Linked DNA regions of Rhinolophus ferrumequinum. The protein of the gene in region 1 interacts with the protein of each later gene in a pairwise test. Links are inferred from orthologs where the notes say so. Each region holds a gene or a part of one and is shown on either strand. Other genes may lie near its edges.

Evidence for each region.
Region 2: the proteins of KANSL1 (region 1) and NECAB2 interact in binary tests that used the Homo sapiens proteins (3 or more experiments, as listed by UniProt). The two-hybrid records come from large-scale screens. The link is inferred for Rhinolophus ferrumequinum from reciprocal best matches to the Homo sapiens genes KANSL1 and NECAB2.

The regions. Positions count from the first base shown.
Region 1 is NC_046304.1:41,156,017-41,163,121, reverse strand, and holds the start of KANSL1 (KAT8 regulatory NSL complex subunit 1), read left to right. Parts: upstream 1-4,102; 5' UTR 4,103-4,267; intron 4,268-4,900; exon of another isoform or gene 4,901-5,035; 5' UTR 5,036-5,174; intron 5,175-7,105. UniProt on the Homo sapiens protein: Non-catalytic component of the NSL histone acetyltransferase complex, a multiprotein complex that mediates histone H4 acetylation at 'Lys-5'- and 'Lys-8' (H4K5ac and H4K8ac) at transcription start sites and promotes transcription initiation.
Region 2 is NC_046298.1:29,518,182-29,525,595, forward strand, and holds the start of NECAB2 (N-terminal EF-hand calcium-binding protein 2), read left to right. Parts: upstream 1-4,407; coding exon 4,408-4,632; intron 4,633-7,189; coding exon 7,190-7,214; intron 7,215-7,328; exon of another isoform or gene 7,329-7,414. Other genes in the region: OSGIN1 (oxidative stress-induced growth inhibitor 1), read left to right, coding at 1,612-2,560. UniProt on the Homo sapiens protein: May act as a signaling scaffold protein that senses intracellular calcium.

The DNA.
Region 1 (7,105 bases):
AAAACAGTATCTCAGTGGAGATTTAAATGCTTGTCTTTTAGTGAGTTGAGCATCTTTTCATTCATTTACCAGCCATTCCTATGTTCTTTCTCGTAAAATTTCTGTAGTATCTTTTGTCCATTTTTCCAGAGAGATGCTATTTTTCTAAAAAATAATATTTTCATTGTGAAGTATCCATACAGAAAAATATACAAAAGTTTTTGTATGTTTTGCTAAACAGTTATAGAGCAAATACCTGTGTACCCATCACCTGATCAAAAAGTAGAACACTGAAAGGAAAAGGAATTCTGGATTGCCTTAGGAACTCTGGAACTGCCTGTTCCTAAGAAAAACCTCCACCCTCCACACTCAATCAAACAACACTCCCTCTGCCCCCGTTAGCCAGCCTGACTTTCATTATTGTGTTCATTTCCTTCCTTTTCTTTATAATTATACCACCTATCTATGCATCCCTATGCAATATAGTTCAGTTTTGCCTGCTTTTAAACTTTATATAAATGGAATCATACTTTGTATATTTTTTTGTATCTTGCTTTTTTGTGTGTGTTTAATATTACCTTTGTGAATATTTATTCATATTGTTGAACATAACCATAGTTTATTAATTTTCGTTGTCTGAATATACCACAATTTAACCATTTTATGCTTGATAAACATTTGGGAGGTTTCCAGTGTGGGGTGCTGAGGAACAAAGCTGCTATGAATATTCTTGTACAGTGATCCTGACATTTACAATTCTGCATTTCTTTATAATACATATAATACTGTGACTGCTGGGACACAGTATACATAGCTTCAATTTTATTAGATTTTATCAGAGTCTTTTTCTAAAATGGCTGTGCCAGTTTACACTCCCACCAGCAGGGTAAGGATGAAGATGGCTGGTATTTATTTATTGATTTGTAAGAGGTCTTTATAGACAGTATCATAGAAATTAGCCCTTTGTAATAGGAGTAGCAAATTGTTCCCCCCCCAAGTTTAGTCTCTTTAAAAAGGCACTGATGTTCTTCCAACCCCCCCTAGAGGAATGAAAATGTAACTGGAAGAAGTGGAGTATTCTAATTTTGAAGCATTTAAATGAAAAAATGTTCTGGGTTAACCACTTTATCACTCTTAATGTGCAATCGTATATGTCATCCGTACAAATAATCATACCGGAAATTTTTATGGAATGCTCTGGAATACAAGATGTCAATATAATAATAATGATAGTTAAAAACTGTTGACCTTGTATTAGGCACTGTTTTAAATCCATTATATATATTAACTAATTTAATCCTTACAATAACCCTAGGAGGTGGGTACTATATTTTGCTCCATTTTACAGATACATGAAATAAGGAGCTGGATTAAAGATGTTTTCTAGGGCATATTTAAGCAAAATTAATAAACTCAGAAAAGATTCTTTCTTAACTAATAAAGATGTTTTCTTTTTATAATTTCTTTTTCCTCTTGGGAATGAATGATACGCCATCTGGGTTTCTTTTCCCCATCTCAGATCTGCAATATACCCCATAGCTTTCTCTTTTTTCTTTGAAGAAAGACAAAATGTATATATCGTTCTTCCAATCTTTACTCACAATTCCTTGTTCTTTGTGTCACAGGGACGTCAGAAATCTGCAGGTAGCACTAGGAACCAGAGAGTGTTTGGAGCAAGTGGAAAACGGAAAGAGAGAGACGGAGATAAGGGGTGAAGGACAGGGCCACAAGCCTGGCATGGGTGTGTGAAGGGTGGGAAGGATGCTTTCTTTATGGTGGGGTTTCTTAACCTGCAGTCCACAGATTAAGAAATCCATGAATTTAGATCAGGGAAAGTGATGTGCCTTTATTTTTGCTAAAATGTTAACAGAAAACTAGCATTTCCTTCAGTTATGAATGGAGACGACAAACCAAGTCGTATTAGCAGTGTCTGTGATTTTGTCACCGGTAGAAATCACAAATATTTTCCTAATAATATGACAGCTGTCACAGCGATCTTGAAATATTATTTATGCTCATTTACTACCTGAAAATTATGGTGGTCATTAGGTCTGCCATTAGATCTTATTATTTAATACATTAATATAAAGCCCAGATATTACTATATCACACCTTTCAAAATATTTTGAAAATTGTATTTTAATGTCATTGCTTTCCTTTAAATTCCTCTGTATGTTGATTACACATAAAAAGTATTCTGAGAAGAGGTCCATATGTTTCACCAGACTGCCAAAGGGTCCGTGGTGTGAAAAAGTTAAGAACTCTGCTTTATGGATATTTTGACTTTCATTCTTATTGAATGAGCCTTTAGAGAGTCCCAGAAATGAATCTCAAGACCGGTGAGGCTGTCATAGTTTTATTATTCTATTTTTCCAGAGACACTTCCCCCCATAACTTTCATGCCTCTTCAATATTCTGTTTTTCTTACCTCACTGCCCCTCTTTCTGTTCTTTTCATTATCCTGTGGGTGCCTTTTTACACTTCTATGGGTAGTTTATCCTTCAGCATATCATCAATCAACATATTTAGGTAGAGAACTCCAAACCTTCCCTAGTCCAGATTGTCCACCCTCTCCCAAATTCCGTATTTCCAGTTGCCTCTGGGACACCTCCACTTAGTTTTACCACTACTGTTTGGAACTGAACATATTAAAAACTAAGATTTCTCCCAAAATTTGCATGCTGTCCCACTTTGCCTGGATGACCATCTTGTCTGTCCCCCTGGTTTTCTGACCTTAGATTTATTTTAAAATTTAAATAAATTACTTAAACAAAACAAAACAAAACCCTGGAATCTTTGTAAATGGCACAAAAATCAAAAGATACAAAAAGATGTACAATGAAATGTAAGTCTTGCTTCCACCTGGTCCCCTAGGCACTCAGTTATCAGCCCAGGTGGAAAGCACTTTGAGTCATTTTGATTCCTTATTATATTGGTTATATCTCAAGTCCTTCCCGTTTGTGAGATGTGTGCCCTTTCCTCTCCAGGCTCTTGTGACCTTATATCTGGTTGACTTTATACATATATGTATGTGTATATTTTATATTCATATATAAAATCTCTCCTATGGCCTTCCGGCCTCGAGTTTTCATCACGTCGCTTCCTGGATGAAGAACCTACAGGGGTGAGGGGCCGGGGTTGGGGGTGATGGAGAAGAGGATCCAAAGGGGACTTAGGTAGGGGGTTCGGAGTGGCTGACTGGTGGGAAGCTCTGCCAGGATTCCTATTTCTATCTTTCCCACCGCGGGCCCCCTTCCAGTCGCCTTGTCCAAATGTCTCTCATTTCCAAGAGCCAAGACAGAGACAGCGAGATACAGAGACAGAGACGCCGAGGCACCAGCATCCCTCTCCCCTCCTGTCCCGCCCCACCGCTCTGACGGACACCCGCCATTAGCCAATGGCGCTCACGATGTGCCCCGGAAGGACCAATGAGAGACAGAGGAGGGCAGAAGATTCCCCGCCTCCACTTCTAGGCTTGGTTGAGCCGTGCAGGTAGGTCCGGGGCCGGGGGAGCAGCCGTTGGCACTGGTGCCGCGGGGGTAGGGGGCACGAGTCGTTAGGGGTGATGGTGGGAAAGGGGATGTGGTCCTATCCGCGGGAGTTTGAGGGGGTGGCCCAGGCGGGAGGCGGGGGGCCGGCGGGCCCGGGGAGCGGGCGCCGCCGAGGGCCCTGGAAGCGGCTGGACTTGGGGGAGCGGGGACGCGTGTGTGAGGCACAGGGACCCCCGCCCCGCGCCCACTCGCAGGCCTGGGCCGCGGGCTGCCGGCCGAGGGGCTGGGGGCCTGGTGCCCGGGGGCGGACCGGGGCTGGGCCTGGGGCCGGGGGCGCCGAGCAGAGCCCGGGGCGCCAGGCCGAGCCGAGGTGGGACGGACCGACGCGGAGAGGAAGGGAAGCTGCATCCCGCGGGCCGCCCCTCCTGAAGCGAGCCGGGGCAACGGCCGCAGGCTCCCCTGCCCGGAGCCCACTTCCCCATTCGCCCCCTCCCTGACAATGGGGATGGGACAGAAGGAGTCGCCCCACTGCGGGAAGCTGGCGGGGGGTGTAGGTTTGGGACTAGGGTCCAAGGTGGGGGGAGGGGTGAGAACTCGGGCTCTCTCCCCTTTCTCTTCTTCCCATGTCTTTTGCGGTGGGGATCATGGAGGGTCTATTAAATCCTCCTGAGACTTGGGTCAAGAGTCAAACTCCCCCGTCCCCCCCCAAAAAAAATCCGATGAGCGGTAAGGAAAGTGATGCCAAGTCTTCGAAGCCCAAGTGACAAACGCATAGCAGGAACAAATCTACTCCAGAGGTTTTTATTTAAAATTTTTTTTTCCAAAATGAGGGTATTGTAATTTTTGATTTTTTGAAATTTATTTTACAGAGGTGGGTGCTGTTATTCTTGTCCCTACTCGGGCAAGCCTCCATTTTAAGCGAAGCAGTAACTGGTTAAGCTGGAATTTTCATTCAGGCCTAGGACTTGAACAAGGTTCCTAGGAGAGGTCATTTAATCCATCCTCCTGCCTCCAGGCAAACTTGCCTCTCTCCTTCCTCAAAATTAAGTTGTTTGGTCTGCTTTTAACGATCTCTAGAGAAGAAGGCTCTTTTATTTGCTTGTAGCACTTCAGTCAAGAATGGATTTTATTTTTTATGTAGATAGGTCCTGAAACTTAATAAAATTTAGGACAGTGAGAATGATCAGAGAGGTTTTTATTAAATAAAATTAAATGTGACAAGGGTCTTTTTTAGATGGTCCGTTAAATCACTTTTCAGTAGTGTTTATGAAGTACCCTGAAGAATCATTTTTCTACCTGGGATTTTGGTTTTCTAACTATTTGATAAGCAATTTTATATTATAGAAAACATGTATTACACAGTTAATTCACTTTTTATGTAAACTATATTTCTACATGATATGGATATACACATACATACATTTGCCTCTTTCTAAAGGGGACTGTGTTTTGTACATCTTTTTAGGATGGTGAAGCAAATAGTACTTCAAATCTCTGTCCAGATACTCAAACTATTTGCTTATTCTTGATTATTTTTTAGTCTAAATGAAAGTCCTCTCTTTCAGATACCTTCTTGAAACAAAAAAATTTCCTACCTGCTCATACTTGGTGACTGAGGGATTACTAAGACTCCCTGCTTGCTCATTTCTGAGAATTGTCTGAACTATTCCTGACACTATGAATGCTATGTGGATGCCTCCTAAGGTAAGATGTGTTATTTTTTTTTTTCAATTAAAGGCCTCATTTTATTTTTCTTTAGAATTGAGAATATTCTCGAATTTGCAATTCTTCAACCTATTACCTGACCCTCCTTTCCCCTCAAAAACTACTCTTATGGTTGCTTCCTAGGACTCGTTGGTTACTCTTTACTTTGTATTGCTACTGTTCTTAATTGTTGGTGTTAAAATATGAATGAAGTTCTCAAGTTAACTTTCATTATAATGATGTGTTAATTTTCTAACTTTAAATTATGACAACCCACATAGCTGTAAAATTATCCTATCTCAGTAGGATGGATTGGCACTTCAGCCATCCAGGTCCATTTTCAACAGGTAGTCATAGGTAGTAGGGTGTGTCCCACTTGCAAATCTGTAGCTGATTCATGAATTACAAGTGATGTGTCATTAACCATTTGTTTACTCTGAAACTTCATGTAGAATTTTCTGAGGCCTGTTGGTTTGCGTGTACGACTCCACTGGAGAGTCCTGCTGCTTCCTAGTCATTTGCATAGGAATTAACACTTTTTCTGCACAGGTAGCGCTTTGTGCCAAGTTTCATTTCACAGGATAAACCTCTGTTGGGCAATGTGGGCTGATGATCTTTAGATGAAAAAGCTCTTATTAATGTGGTTCTCAAGTCCCTTCACTCCTTCCAATTTCTTGTACATAGATGGCCAAAGGACACTTCGTTTGTACTAAGTAAAGGGCAAAGCTTAAGACATTTGTAGGGAGGAAAATGAGAGGAAGGATGGACAGAGAAAGATGAGGGGTGATGGAAGCCCTCACCAGTTTCGCCAGGTGGCTCAGGTTGCCTTCCTTTGGAGCTAGATATTAGTGTATTTAAGACCGTTGTGTGGTCATCTGCCCTGTGGAATGCCAATTTAATGCAACGAATAAATCAGAATAATGTAACCTAAATATTTGGACTGTTGGAAATCTTTAGGTAAATGTAGACTGAGTTCTCTTCTTAGTTTATATTCCAGCTGTTGTTGTTGCTTACATTATGTGTAAAAGAAGTCAAAGTGATAGTTTACCAGCCATTCTCCGTGTAGAGTTGGAGGGGTTGTATGGGGAACCCACCCAGAAGTCCTGAACACTTAGGAATTGGAAAACCTTATATAAGAGTGTTTCTCTTTGGTACCAAGTGTTTAGCGCCAGGACCTGGTGACCTCTGTTATCTTTAGGAAGCAGGCAAGGGGATATCAGCAGGCCCTAGGTCCCCAGAAACCCAAGGAAATTAGGATCCATATATTGAATTTTGTTTTACCATTACCCTGGTTTTAACTAATGTATTAGGTACATAGAGCCTCCTTCTTAAGATATATATGATGTTTAAGATTTTACCAGTAAATCTCTGAACTTGGGGTGTTATGTGGTTGACTGTTGAACAACCCCAGGGATCAGGGGTGCCGACCCCCCGCCCCCACACACACACAGTCAAAAATAAGGAATAACTTTTGACTCCCCCAAAACTTAACTTCTAATAGCTTACTGTTGACCGGAAGCTCAACCAATAACATAAACAGTTGGTTATCACATGTTATGATACATGTATTCTTAGAGTATGTTATACTGTATTCTTAGAATAAAGTAAGCTAGAGAAGAAAATTTATTAAGAAAATCTTAAGGAAGAGAAATGCGTTTACTGTATTGAAAAAAATCCGCACAGTTCAAACTCATTGTTCAAAGGTCAACTATAGTTCCACAATAACCCCTGAAGTTGTACCAAAGACCTCTGGGATGGCAGGAGTACAGAGCTTCCTACTATATGAGTTACCTACCACCTGTTAACTACTTAAGAATGTAGTTATGTGGCTGCCTTAATTTTATGTTTCCTACCAGTTCTTTGATCAGTGGAAGATCTCTTCTGAATCTGAGCAGATTTTTTATTTGCTAACATTTTCCTCCTCCTTTTAC
Region 2 (7,414 bases), on another chromosome or scaffold:
TCAGCCTCTCAGGACAACTCAGTTTCCACCTCTTCAGGAATCACTGTCTATCTCTTTTACACAAAGACTTCTGTCCCTGCACATTTGGTAGGAAAGCATCCAACACATAGTGATGCGTTACCAGACAGACAGGAAATTAAATTTCACTTGTAGACATACCCTTCCATATCCTTCTTTTAATACTCAACATTATGTCATAGCATTTCACTTGGTGATTACGCAGGGTTTGCAACCATCCTTTTACACGGCCATGTAATATGCCCCAGGGAGGGTGAGCATCTGCGTTGCAGGTCTTTGTACTTAGATGTTGGAACCAAAAATTAGACAGATGTGCGCCCTGCCCCTGAGGGGCTGCCACAGTCCCTAAGCCTCTGCCCAGGCCTGGAGCTTTCATTCTTTCCAATGCACCGTTTCTAGGAGTAACCCCATGTGTAACATCTTAGGGCAATCCTTTAAAACAATTTGTACTAAAACAGAGAAGGTGACATGAGAAACCCACAGAAATAAATTCCAGAGTTCCAGTTTCTGTAGCAGACGAATGAGTTGGGCTGGCTGGCGGATGTGATCTGAGTTCACCCTACCATTGGCCGATGGGTCGTGCTGGCGTGTCACTTAGGATTCCCTTTCAGTGAGTTCATCTCTAACAGTACGTTCACCGTTAGGGAAAGTGACTCACCTACGGTCACACAGGTAGATACAGGGAGTCACACAGCTTTCACCTGAGTCATCAGCAGCACTGGCCCACAGTCACTGCCTCGGAAAGGGTGGTGAAAATATTAATATTAATAATAATAATAATAATAATATTAATAATAAAATAGTTCCTGCTGTTACTGTGTGTGCTGGGACTGTGCTAAGTGCTTTACATGGGTTCTTTCTTATCAACTCTTTTACTGAAATATATCATACGTACAGATAAATCACATGTGTACGGGTGGATGAAATTTCTCAAAGTGAACCCATCTGCGTCCAGCCACCCAGACTCAAGAAATCCATCACGTCTCCTCAGGAGCCCCCTCAGACCCCTCCTAATCCCCACCCCCTTCTCCTCCCAAGAGGCAACCACTTTCTTGACCTCTAATTCCACAGGTCAGTTTTGCCTGTTTCTGAACATTATAAAAGGACGATCCCACCATCGTGATGTATGTTATTATTGAATCCTTCGGGGTAATAGTGGCCGGGCCCATACGGCCTGTCAGGTTCTATTCTAAGCTTCGTTTACATCATCACCTAATTCTCTCAGCAACCACACAGCATAGGTACATCACCATCGTCATCCTCATTTTGCAAGTGAGGAAACTGAGGCAGAGAGTTTCAGGAAACAGCTCACCAGTGGCAGAGTCAGGATTTGAACCCAGGCCATCGGCCTCTGGAGGCCCCACTCTCAACACCCCCTCCCCCATAAGATACCATTATCAGCTCCATTTTACAGAAGAGAAGACTTCACCTTCTGAGAAGGTTAAACCACTTGGCCAACTCTTACGGCTGCTGGGTGCACAGTCATCGTGGGCTCCAGGGCCTGACTCCAACCTGGTCACCCCCTGTCCCCCCTGATTGACCCGCCACCCCAGCCGCTATCTGACACCTGCCCTTTTTGCATCCTTCCCCCAGAGGTCTCCGAAACAGCCGGGCCACAGCTGGTGACATTGCTCACTACTACAGGGATTATGTGACCAAGAAGGGCTTGGGCCACAACTTCGTGTCCGGCGCAGTGGTCACGAATGTGGAATGGGGGACGCCCGAGCCCAGCAGCTCTGGGGCCCAGGACCCCAGGCCGCTCTTCCAGGTGAGCGGTTTCCTGACCACCGAGGACCAGTGCCAGCAGCCCTTTTCCCTGTATGCCCACAATGTGGTCCTGGCCACCGGCACATCCGACAGCCCGGCGCGGCTGGGCATCCCTGGGGAGACCCTGCCCTTCATCCACCATGAGCTGTCAGCCCTGGAGGCGGCCACAAGAGCAGGCACAGTGAGCCCGGCCTCGGACCCCGTCCTCATCATCGGCGCGGGGCTGTCAGCGGCAGACGCGGTCCTCTACGCCCGCCATTACAACATCCCCGTGATCCACGCCTTCCGCCGGACCGTGGATGACCCCGGCCTGGTCTTCAACCAGCTGCCCAAGATGCTGTACCCCGAGTACCACAAGGTCCACCAGATGATGCGGGAGCAGTCCATCCTGTCGCCCAGCCCCTACGAGGGCTACCGCAGCCTCCCTGAGCACCAGCCTGTCCTCTTCAAGGAGGACCGCCAGGCCATGTTCCAGGACCCCACAGGCCTCCAGAAGGTCTTCGGCGTCTCCCTAGTGCTAGTCCTCATCGGCTCCCACCCGGACCTCTCCTTCCTCCCGGGGGCAGGTGCTGACCTCGCCATGGACCCCAGCCAGCCACTGAGCGCCAAGAGGAACCCCATTGACGTAGACCCCTTCACCTACCAGAGCACACAGCAGGAGGATCTGTACGCAGTGGGGCCGCTGGCTGGGGACAACTTTGTGCGGTTTGTGCAGGGCGGGGCCCTAGCTGTGGCCAGCTCCCTGCTGAGGAAGGAGGCTAGGAAGCCGCCCTAGCCCTTGGCCTGGCATCCTCGTACCCAGACCCTAAAGAGAAGGGGAGATCATCACAGCCCTGCTGGACACAAGATGCCCCAGTGAGGGAAGGGAGCCTCTCCTGGCAGGAGACAGGAGTGGCCATGAGCCCATGCAACAGGCTTCTCGGATAGAGGAGTGGGAGCCAAGGCTACCCAGACTCAGACCAGTGCCCAGGCTGGGAACAGTGGCTGCAGGTCAGCAAAGGCCCAGACCTGCGATTTGGGGTGAAAGCTGCCAGTGTGAGCAGGGATGACCAGGGCCAGCTGAGCGCTGAGCCAGGAGGACTCCAGGCCCCACTCCTTCTAGAATCAGGTCCCAAATAAAATCAGTGCCTGCCTCCACTCACGTGTCTGAGGATTCTGTGCTTGGGGAGGGACCGACTGCCCAGGAGCCTGTTCTAGGAGCCAGGCAGAAGCACAGGGCCAGGTGGGAGGAGGTCCTTGGGGTGGGGCTTGGGGGACAACCGATGATGCTCCAAGTGTGGCAAATGAGAAGGCAGCTGCCGTTTCCCTGAAAATAAGACCTAGCCGGACAATCAGCTCTTATGCGTCTTTTGGAGCAAAAATTAATGTAAGATCCAGTATTATATTATTTATATTATATAAGATCCCGTCTTATAGTAAAATAAGACCGGGTCTTATATTAATTTTTGCTCCAAAAGACGCATTAGAGCTGATTGTCCGGCTAGGTCTTATTTCCCGGGAAACACGGTATGCTAGAGAAGTGAGGGGAGCGTGTGTATGAGGAATGAAGTGCTGAGGAGGCTTTCCAAGCCCCCTCCCATTCTCCCTTGCAACACGTTGTCTTAGCCCCTCATGCTCATGCTTCACCTGCCACAGGGCCTTTGCACAATCAGGTCTCTAGCCCACTTTTCCCTCCTCTCTTTAACTCTTCCCCTTTCTTCCACTCTCTCAGCATAAGAGTTACTTCCCCCAGGAAGCGTCTTCTGACACAAACCCCTCCTTAGGCACCAGGGCAAATTACCAGCTCATGGCCCAAGGTGTCATCTCTTCATAGCAGTTCGGTTTTAATGATTCATTTATTTGTGGAATCTGTATCTAGCTCTACCCATTGGGCTGTAAGCTCCAAGAGGCCAAGGACCCTGTCTGTTTTGCCCATTATTGGGACCCAGAGCCTAGCACCTAACTGCGCGCCTTAACTAATCTGTTGGAGTGTGTGGGGAAGGGGGAGTTCTGGGGCGAAGACTGGTTCTGGGCGTTGTGTAATGGGAGGGAAGGTCTGAGGGGGCGTAACGCCCGCAGGAGGGAAGGATGGGTGCCCGTGGGAATTGTGGTGGAAGCCCATCGCACGGGCACGGATCACCCGAGCTGGAGCCGGCAGAGGGAGCTCCGAGCTCGCTGGACATTGCGCTCTGGCCCCTGCGGCGGTGCCGCGGGTCAGGTGGGGTGATTTTAGGTGGGGGCAGCGGGAGACTTTCGTGGGGGAAGCCCCCAGGGACGCCCCCCGGCAGGCAGACCCTCCCACCAACCCCGTGTCTACTGGGCAGCCCCTCCCTGGCCGGGGTCTAGACCCCAAATCTGCGCCCCCGCGGGCAGCCTCCTGCTGCCGCTCTCAGCCGCGGTAGGGGGCGGGGGGGGTGCGGTGGACACGGAGCACGTGGCTCGGGGTCCGGGCGGAGCGCACCCCCCCTCCCCCGCGACCGGTCCCCCGGCGCCGGCCCGTCTCCTCCGTGGCCGCGGCCGCGGGGGCAGAGGGAGGGAGGGCGGGGCGGCGCGGGCAGCGGCGCCGGGGAGGGGTCGCGCGGGGGCGGACGGGCGGGGGTCGGCGGGCTTCCGGGCGGCGGTGGCGGTGGCGGGTGCGGCGCGATGTGCGAGCGGGCGGCGCGCCTGTGCAGGGCCGGCGCGCACAGGCTGCTCCGGGAGCCGCCGCCGCAGGGCCGGGCGCTGGGCGGGCTGCTGCGCTGGGTAGGCGCCAGAATGGGCGAGCCCCGGGCGCCGCTGGCCCCCGACGTCCCCGCCGCCCCCGCCGTGGACCCTGGCCCCTGTCCCGGCCCCGCCTCGCTGCGCGGGGGCACTGCTGTCATCCTGGACGTGAGTACGCGCCCGCCGGGACCCCAAGCCCCCTCCTCCCACGGGGAACCCCGACGCCGCCCTACCTCGTTCCCGCCGGAACCCGCGAGGACCCCACCCCACCCCGAGCAGGGGACCCCCGACGCATCCCTCTGGGCAGCTCGGAGCTGGAACCGCACCCGGCCTCTCTTAAGTCCCAGAACGCGAGCCCCAAGCCTTCCCACGTCCCGGCCAGTCTCATTCCCGGACCAAGACGACCCCCACTCCTTCCTCCACCTTCTCGGAGCCGGGATTCTGGAGACCCCTTGGCCGGCCACCGCCCCCTACTTTTGTCCTGGTCCGACCCTCATCTTGCCCCAGCCCTGCACCTACCCTTTTCCCCTCATCCCTTCCCAGGACGAGAGCCCCTGACTGCCTCCAGCCCCCTGAGCCTCTCCTTCCCAGGTCCCTGCTGAGTTGCTACTTTTCAGAGACCACCTTCCCCTTCCTCGCTAGACTCTGAACCCTTGTAGTCTCATCCCTAATCAAAGACCTATTCTCCCTGCCCCCCCCTTTGAAAGTGAAGTCCCCTCCCCACCTCTGTCTTTCCTTCTCGTTTCCAGAGTGTTGGAACCACCCCCATCCGCCCTGAGCCTGGACCCCTAGGTTCCCCTTCACCACCCCCACTCCATTCTGAGCCCCCTCTGTCCTCCATTCCCTTCCCCACCTCCACCCTCTCTACTCACCCCCTCCCTCATCCTCTCTGGAAACCAAACTGCCCACCTCTGGGAAGCCCACCTCACCCTCCCACCCACTCCCCAAATGGGAGGGAGATTTCCCTGGTGGATTGCAGGGTGTGGGGGACTCCGGTGGAGTGCTAGGCGGTGGAGGGGCTTTCTCTCCTCCCCCTGCCCCATGACAGCATGGTGGTGGGATGTGCATGTCCCAGTGTGGTGGGTGGCGAGGAGATGGGGGTGCCTAGAATGTTCATGATGGCTTTCTGGGAGGGGAGTGTGTGTGTGTGTGTGTGTGTGTGTGTGTGTGTGTGTACGTGTACAGCACATCCCTGTAAGTGTGGGGGAGCTTGGATTACCTCTCTCTCCTTCCCTTCTCTCCTGGAACCCATAGCTGGCTTTGGGCAGAGAGCAATGGGTAGAGAAGGTGGAGCTGTGCTGGGTGTGTTTCAGGTTCTGGTGCCTCCAAACACACACTCGTGCATACACAGCCCAACACACAATGGACTCTCTCTCTCAAGACCCTAGCAAGCAGAGTTCACCGCTGAAAGCCCTGGGCCCATGGGGTCTGCAGACCTAGGCCTGCCGTTGTAGGGAACCCCCATCCAGACCCCTCCTGATTCTCTCCTCTAACAGTACAGGAGGTGGGCTCCAGGTTCCTAGCGTGCCATGTGAGGGCTCTGAGCCTCCATTACCTCATCTGTGAAATGGGGTGACGAGCCGAGATGGGGACTCACAGTGCTCACGCAGACTCCTAGAGCCATACATGTGGTCACGTTATTCACAGGCCCAGAGCTCACACCTGAGGGTGGGGTGCCTAGACGGGGGCTTTGAGGAGGTCCTAGGGTGCTCTGATAACTGCTCCCCTTTCTGCCCCAGCCACAGAGGCTCCTGCCTAGTACCCCAACCCCCGGGTTCAGCTAAGGAAGGGGGTGATGTCTAAGAAGGCCTCCTGAGCTGCTGCTTTGGTTTGTCACAGCCCCTGGTGCCTGATAATGGATGCCCGCACCATTGCTTGAAGGGATGGGGTGGGGGGGTATCTGTCCTTTACCCCAGGGACAGACCAAAGGTGGGATGGTCAGAGGTGGTGGTGTCTCCCCGTCTCCTATCAGCAAGGCTTACGGAATCCCAGAATACCAGGAGGGGGAGTTATCTGGTCTCTAAGCTCAGGCTAGGGTTGGGGAGTAGGGGCAGTGGCTGTCCTTCCCCCATCCCTGCCTGGTTTTCTGAGCTCCTGGAGACCTGCTTCTTCCCATTCCCTCACCCCCTAAAAAATCGAATCCTGCCCATGGCTGGTCCAGTTGCCAAACCTCCAGATTCCCTTAGCAGACACCTCCATTCAGACTTAACCCGATCTCCCTACAGAAAACCAGGGCCCTCAAGGGGTTCTGGGAGGGGTGCAGTGGTGTAAGGCATATGGCTGTGTCCACGGGACACAAATTCGGAGTGCGTCACTGAGCGTACGACTGGGTGAAGCGCGTGAACCGATGGCTCTGGGAGCATGTGGAACCAATGATTCTGGGAGCAAGCATGTGGATGGATGTGAGCGAGTGTCCACATGCGTGTGCATGTGTCTGTCGGCATGGCTGTGGGCAGGCTGGCGGCACAGAAGGGAGAGTGGGCGGCTGTTTCCGTGAGGGTGGCTCTTTCCATGAGGGTGGCTAGGAGCGCCTCTGCCTGAAACATCCCTTCCTCACCCCTGGATCCCAGCCAGATGGGGGTCTCCTCCCTGGGAAGGAAGAAGGAGGGAGCTCTGCTTCCCAGGCCCACCTGGGGGGAGTGGGATCTCAGTATCAGGTCAGGATCTGCTGCAGGCGCCTGCTCCCTGGCCCAGGGCCGCCTTGACCGACTTCTCTTCTCTGCAGATTTTCCGTCGTGCGGACAAAAATGGTGAGTTTCCCTCCCACACTGTCCCCTGAATGAGAAGCTGGCTCTCTATCCTGAGTCTTCAGGGGAACAGATCAGGGGCAGGGACTGGACAACCTGAACCTAAAGGTTTAGAGTGCAGATCTCTGAAGTCTGAAGGCCAAATTCTGACTCTGCTCCGTGCCTCAGTTTCCCCTCTGTACAATGGGACTCCCAGAGTTCCT